Linked DNA regions of Struthio camelus. The protein of the gene in region 2 purifies or fractionates together with the protein of the main gene of each other region. This does not show direct contact. Links are inferred from orthologs where the notes say so. Each region holds a gene or a part of one and is shown on either strand. Other genes may lie near its edges.

Evidence for each region.
Region 1: the proteins of BTRC (region 2) and IFNAR1 purify together in Homo sapiens (affinity purification with western blotting; 4 studies listed by BioGRID and IntAct, counting the BioPlex papers as one, with this or other methods). This does not show direct contact. The link is inferred for Struthio camelus from reciprocal best matches to the Homo sapiens genes BTRC and IFNAR1.

What each region holds. Positions count from the first base shown.
Region 1 is NC_090942.1:120,311,024-120,314,771, forward strand, and holds the start of IFNAR1 (interferon alpha/beta receptor 1), read left to right. Parts: upstream 1-855; 5' UTR 856-976; coding exon of another isoform or gene 977-1,040; intron 1,041-1,456; exon of another isoform or gene 1,457-1,496; intron 1,497-3,748. UniProt on the Homo sapiens protein: Together with IFNAR2, forms the heterodimeric receptor for type I interferons (including interferons alpha, beta, epsilon, omega and kappa).
Region 2 is NC_090948.1:16,138,097-16,141,844, reverse strand, and holds the start of BTRC (F-box/WD repeat-containing protein 1A), read right to left. Parts: upstream 2,588-3,748; 5' UTR 2,462-2,587; coding exon 2,414-2,461; intron 1-2,413. UniProt on the Homo sapiens protein: Substrate recognition component of a SCF (SKP1-CUL1-F-box protein) E3 ubiquitin-protein ligase complex which mediates the ubiquitination and subsequent proteasomal degradation of target proteins. Recognizes and binds to phosphorylated target proteins.

The DNA.
Region 1 (3,748 bases), on a different chromosome or scaffold from region 2:
TATTCATAGCACCTAGGATGTGGAAAATACAGGCCTTTGCCTGCTGGAGTTTCAAATCCTCATCTCTGAATACACTGTTGTGCCCACTTAGGAGTAGGTTGTTTTCAGGGGGTAGGAAGTGAAAGGTAACCTCTCATTGCTCCTCCCATTGCAGCTGGATAACCTTATTGAAAAATATGAAACAGAAAAAGGGAAGGCGAGCTCTGTAGTCAAGAAACTAGGACTCCTACCTGCAAAAAGAGTAAGCTGGGGTCCAAACCCCACTGCAAGGGCAGCAGTATGCATGCTGCATTGAACACTCACTGTAGCCTTCATCATACACTCAAGGAGCAGGGCAGACTAGACCAGAACACAGATTTTCCCCTCTGCAGACAATCGCCCTAACTCCTGAAACTCTACAGATTTTGTTTCTCCCTCTGTGACTCAAAGTATCTTGTGATTTGTTGATTTTTTTGACTATCTATAAGGGGGCACATTGTCAGAAAGGCCCCTTTCCCTTAGGGTTGTGTGAATGGGTTCTCTCGGCTTTGGGAGGAGAGCAAGCTACCAGACAGCACCGGCAGGCCAAGGACAGGAAACATGAGCGCTGACAAGACGGCTGAGAAGAACGAATTTATGCCAAAGCCAAGTTCCTCCCCACCAGAAGACACCCAGCTCTCTGGGTTTTCTCTGGAGACGCACCACAGAGCGTCCAAACCCACTTGCTCTCCTCAGACGACATCTCCTACTGCCACTGCTGGAAGCAAAACATCTGACGGGCCGCTAGTCGCCCCCAGGCCGACGTTTCTCCCCGTCTTAACACGCCCTCATCACCCACCACCGCCGCCATTTCGCAGGCCGCAGCGGCGCGGAAGGCGGTCCGCGCATGCGCGGCGTGCCCGAGGCTTCCGGGAGCTGCGCGACCGCCCGCGGTAGCAGCTGCCGGATGGGCGGCGGGACGGTGGCGGCCGCCGCGGCTTAGGCGGGTCGCGGAGCCATGGCGGGGCTGCTCGCGGGGCTCCTCTCGTGCCTCCTGGTCGCGCTGGCCCCCCGCTGCGCAGGTGGGCCCGGGAGGGTAGGGCGCTGCGCCTTTGGCGGCGGGGCGCGCGGGGGCGGCTCGCGCCGCGTCCGTTAGCGTAGCGGGGTGGGGGGGGGGGGTCGGCGCGGCGCGGCGCGCGCCGCCGCTTCTGGCCGTTGGCGGCCGTTGGCGAAGCGGGGTCGCGTGCCCAGCCCTCTTGTCAGCCGTGTGGCCCCCGGCGGCGCCGGTAGCCGCGGGTCGTGCCTTGTGCCTGGGCTCTGTGCTGCTGTCCGCCCGCGCCCCGCCGCCGAGACCCGTAGCGGTGCTTGCCGTTCGCGGCTCGGCTCTCGGTTTCTTCAGGAGGCTTTGTGGTGAGACGTGGTCCTAGAAGCTGCTGGCAGCGTGGGCGCTGTGGTGTAGGCACAGCTCGGAGGGTATAAAAGCAGCCCGGATCTTGAATCTGGATTGGGTGTATCGTCTTGAGTGAGCAGGGCTCGGTGTAAGTTAGCCACCTAGCGTCTCGGTTTTTACCGTAGGTGATACATTTAGGTAGCTGTATTATCCAGTCTGCTTCAGGTTTACCTGCTGTATATGAAAAGTAGTGGCTGTAGTGTAAGTGTTTTGCAAACAGGTTCTTGAATCGTGCTAGTTTGCTTGAAAGGCATCTCTACTTAGCTTGGTAGAGCATAAAGTTTAAATAGGGAAATGAGAAAAGTAAGATTGCAGGAGGATTTTACCTTATGTGATAGCAACATAAGCCTCTTGTTATATCCTTAAGCATAGGGAAACCACATGTTGCTCAGAGCCTGCTTTCTTGAGAGGGAGATGTCAGGCATCTCCTGTAAGCTGTAAATTACCTTCCTGCATATTTATGATACATGACAGAATGCAGCAGAGAATATTTGGGCTAAGCTAGTTTGAATAACGGAGATGTTAGAGCTATGGGCTAGTGTGCGTATGCGCTTCTGATCCTAAGCTAGGCTGAGTTCTGGTAACTCTATAAGATTGCATTGTTTCAGTTTGGCATACCTAAAGGAAGGCTGGAGGCTGTTTTCTGGGGTCCACACTTCATGTTTGTGGTAGGATTCAAGCAGTTTGAGGACCTCTTGTGTTTCTTGCTTTCAGCTATTTGATATCTTCTGGTTTGTAAATGAACGCTTAGTGCATCACCCCAAAATTCCAGTCCCGAACTGGAAGTATTACGATACATGTGGCTACTTTGATTAACCCACACATTTATAGAAAATGAATAACGTGCCACATACCACAAGGGTTAGAAGAAACTGGCCGGCTGCAGTGACCTCTCACCTTCTGCCTTGCCAAAAAACAGCTGTTCCTTTCTGCTACTCCTGATTAAAAGTTCTTGCAGTAACCTTGGTTCTGTAGAGAACCTTTCCGTCCATGGAGCCAATAACAGTTTGATTGTCTCTGATATGGGTTTGGTTGTGGGTTTTGTTGTTCTTTTCAATGTGTTTTAGTATCACATATAATAGATCTCCTTTCCTTCCTATGCTAAAGGTTGAGTTAAAGTTTCCATTGGTTCCACCCACATAGTTAACGTGATGCTCTACTTTGCCCTCTTCTGAGGAGGTATATTTGTGTCTTGCTAAAACTAGTTTCTTCTGTTGTTAGATGACTTTTTGTTATGCTGCTGTGTTACGTAATCTTTGTTATTTTCAACCATCGCTTATTGAAAATACTCACTGGAATTAATTAATTGTCATTTATCCTTTGAGTATCACTAGCTTATAGCATTAGAACAGATTTTTATTTATTTGAGTTTATAAAAATATGACAAGGGAAGGAAGATAGGAAATCTTGCTAAAAGTTTTTTTTGTCTTTAATCTCTTCTTTCTTTGGCAGTCTAATCTCTTATAATATTATCCTCAGCACCAAAGTGTTGTGATGCTTTATATTAAGAAGTATGAATTGATCTTAAATGTGACTGCGTTTAATCAAGAGTAAAATAAGCCAGCAAGAAGTCTTGATTTTAGTGACTAACTTTAGTCTGGTTTACATTTGTTTATTTATGAAAAGTTTGATTCTAATTATCTAAATATCTAAATTATGGGGATTATCCGAATCTTGGCTATCCTTTCTGTTCCCCATAAGATCATGTTCCCCACATATCTATGTAAGCAGCTACAGTTATAATATGCATTTATGTTTTTAATACTTTACACCTGGGGAAAATGGTGATCCGTTCTGCATAGAAATATCATGATTTCTATCAGGCACTATTTGGAATGGAAACTAAAATTCAATTAAAATTCACAGGCAGATTATTCTTAATGAAGTTTTAGTTTTTTCAGGTAAAACTGGTACGAGTGTATAAGATACATATCTCTAATATTGATTTATTAAGCAATGGAAGAATTCCCTTTAATGGGAGAATTCGCCATCGACGACTGATTCATCAGGGTTTTAGAATGATGCGATCTTTTCATCTCCTCTTTCTAGTGGAGAAGAAGAAAACAAACTTTCCATCTTTTTTATTGGCTAATCTGTTTTTCAGCCTTTGACCGTTTCTTATACGGAACTGTTTGGATAAACTTAAATAAAACATACTGATATCAAAAGCGATTTTGTCACTACCGCAAGTTGTGGTCCCAGATGCTGAATCATTGTCAAACTGCTCAAGTTATTGAAAAACTTTTAGGTTTAAAGTCAGACTTGTCATGATTTTACATCTGAAAAAGATGGGAGGGAGTTGAGGAAAAATATAAATCATCACTTTATCCTCTCTGTTAT
Region 2 (3,748 bases):
AAAAAAACTGTCTGTCTCACCTGATATCTTGTGATTCAAGAGAGAAGCTCAAAGTTACTGCCAAAAATTAGGCACAGTTATTTTTAAGTGGAAAAAGTAATATTTTTTTTCTAGAGAAGGACAAAAATACTACCACCTACAAGGCTGTTTTCAACATGAAATGAAATTCAGTCGAAATCTGTATCAGAAACAAAACCACCCAAAGCTGTGGAGGTAGCAGGTCCCATCCCTACAAGGGATATTTGAATATTTACTACGATGAAATATCTTGGCACTTGGGAAAGTCACTGAGAAAAATCAATACTCAATAGCATAGTCCCCTTCAACCCAAACTGTGACCCCTCTAATAAGAAAACAGTACATGAAGCGTTTCACACACTTGGATGAACAGGATAATACATTGCGAATGATTCAGCATCAGTTGAGAGGATGCATTAGCCAATCTAGGTAGGTAATTGTAGCAACGCTATTACTGCGGTACCTAAAGACTTTTTGAGTGTAAAAGACAGAAACAAGAGACTTTCTAGCACAGTCAAGCTGATATCTAAGTTAAATAAGACAATCTTACATATTGAAACAACCTACTTCTGCTACATCTCCATGAACTGCAAAGGGGGAAGACTGAAAGACCTCACAATGTCCAATAAAAGATTTACTTTGTCAACATAACTAAAGTGAGAGGCAGGTATTATATAAATGCATGTGAAAGAAAAAGCTTAAGATGCGTTACACAAAAGCCTTTCTCACTCTCCTGTCAACCTGCAAACAAAAATGCCTAAACAGTTGGGAGGCAACAGAGGGAGGCTACATGTTCTGTTGCACTTTTTAGATTTGTTTTGCATATGAGAGGTTTTTCTTTTTTTTTTAATAAAATATTGAAGAACTTAGTTTAGCTTTTAGTTCTCAGTGCAGCCCCACCCTTGATCATTCTTTCCTTTGTCTTGTGCTCTTAACAGATACAGCTCCTGTAGGCTGCACTCTCTCACACTCAGGCCTCTCCCTAGTGCCAGGGACTTTTATTGTTTGAGTGGAACACAGCCAGCTGCAAGATGGACAAGAATTCCCTCAGGTAGCCAGGCCCAATCTTATGGAGGATTTCAAGTACCTGGAATAAACTCTTAGATGGGAATCTTTGCACAAGGGGTGGGAAAAAAGCAGCGTATGAGATGTCAGGATAATGTGTTTACAATGTCCTTTGGTGCAAGACAGAAACTTTTCAAGAGAAACTTTTCCGGATATGAAACTCACTATCTATCCAGATGCAGACTGTAATTACTAAGCTTGACCAAATGCACGCACAGCAGGACCTGGCATACTCCAACAGCCAATCACGCAACAAAGAGGATAATTTGTTATTACTTGCTTCCGTGCCTACTTAGCTATCCACAAAGTTTTCCCACTTTGTTGAACTGAGACTCTAGAAATTTGACAAGCTTTAAGAAAACTAGCAAAAGGGTCAAAAAGTCTCAAGAGAAACAAGTTCTACAAGATTAAAAGCCGCAAGCCAAGCAAGTGTTCTGAAGAGCAGTTAAAAATTAAAATTTGCAACTAGCATTTCCTCAATTTCATTTTGAGCATACGTTCCGAAGATCTAATAGAACTGCTTCTTCTTGATGAACTTAAACTTAACTCTGTACCATGGAAAGCACTGATCCAAAACAAACTTTTAGCAAGTGTTGCCATTCATTTAAGTAACATCCTTAGGGAAAGAACAGTTTGGGGCTAAAGTTAATACTCAAGTTGGTTGGCAGCAGTTTGTTTCCATTTCCAAATCTTACTGTTTGTAGCCCAAAGTTTTGAAAATACCAATAAATGATAAAAAAGAATGAAATAATGTTTTAACTCAAGTGTATCATGCCTCAAACCTAGAGTGAGCTAGCCACGCTCAAAGAACATCTTGGATGCAAGCACCCCAAGGCTATTTTCTGTGTCAAAGACCCACTCGCAAACCTAGACAATATAAGTGCTCTTTACATTCATTATCAGGGATACACAGCGGGAGGAGGCGCAGGATTAAAGTGGCAATACATACAGCTCTGGGGGCAGAGAGGCAGGAAAAACAGAACAAGAACCGCAGCGGGCTGGTGCGCACTACAGAAAGGGAGGCTCAAGTACACAAATAAAAGCAGAAACCCAGCGGACACACGCAGCGCCCCCTCCCCCCTCCCAGCCCGGTTTGAACTTCTCCCGCTCCCAGGCGGCACCTGCGGCCCCCCGGTCTGCGCACCGCGCACCAGACCCCTTCCCCAGCCCCCCACATTTCACCCCCTCGGGACAGCCACCTCCCCCTGCTTCACCGCAACGCCAGCGAGGGCCCCCCCCGGCCTGGCTCCCCCTTCTCCTCCTCCACCTCACCCCGCGCCCCTCCCCCACCCCCGCAGGTGCCCCCGTTCCCACCGCCGCGGCCCCTCACCATGAACTTCAGGGCCTTCTCCTGCAGCACGGCCTCGGCCGGGTCCATAGTCCTGCGCCGCCGCCACCGCCGCCGGGCCCGGGGCCGGGGTCGCCCCTTCCCTCAGTGCCAGGCCGCAGCCAGCGCAGACAGGAACCTGCGCTTCCCCGCGTCCCCCCCGCTCCACCTCGCCCCGCTGCCCGCGCGGCGCATGCGCCGCCCGCAGGCCCACGGGAAATGGAGTCCCTGGCCGCTCTGCCAGTAAGGGCCTGAGGAAGACATGAAAACTACGAGGCCCAGAAGGCCTCGCGGCCAGGGGCACGCCGGGAGCCGGCCGGCGCATGCGCCGCTAGAGGGAGCGGGGGCTGATGGGAGTTGTAGTAGGAAGGGGCTGTGGCGGGCGTAACGGAGGGCAGAGCCGAGCAGGGCGCATGGCCGCTGCGGGGACGAGGGTGGCCCCTTCCCTGGGGGCGTCTGGGGCCTTCCAGCCCCAACCTTCCCCGATGAGGTCTCGGCCCGGCTCCCAAGTCAGAGCCCTGCTCGGTTACCAATTAGTGCCTTGGGTGCGGCTAATTGCCAGGGTGCCTGGCACCTGAGAGCGCGCATAGCTGCTTACCGGCAATTTATGGTGCCGATAAAAGTTTCGCTAATTGTTTTGTTTTGCTGCAGTTGCGCTCAATGCCTGAGTGCGATTGATTTCTAAGTCAATTATTGCTTGTTTTAGTACAGCCCCAAATACCATCTAAAATGAATCTTGTGCACTGGCATATATGTACGTATGGCAAATATGCATAGAGTTGGTACCAAAAACGTTTGGTGTCTTAGTATGGAGTGGAAGTTGGGTCGAGCGGGTTAAGTGTTGCTTCCTGGCAGGGGAACATGAAATTGGGAAACCTGCAACACTGGAATGGATCAAGTAGCCCTACACCATCCCTGAGAGATACTTGTTGAAAACTTGCTGCAAAGACAATTCCTCACATGAAAACAACCTGCCACTGCCCTTGCACTTAGATTTGTTTCTAATAACAAAGCTAGATCTATTTTCTCTGAAAATTACACCTACTTCTCCTTGCTGTATAAAGCAGCAAACAAGAAAAAAAACAATTGACAGGAGCCCTCTTATAACAACTGTGCATAGGCTGGAAGGTGTTTACCATACTGTCCCCCTTTTGTTTTACCTTTCTCTACAGCAAGCACAGCACTGACTCTTACTTAGGGTGTGATCCGGTAAAACACTCACATTCTTTCTATATTTGACTCTGCATCTTAAGTGAGGTGCCTTCAATTTCTTCCTATTTAGAAGCCACAAACCTCAGCATTTACTTGTCAACATGCAACCTAAACCCATTCTCTTTG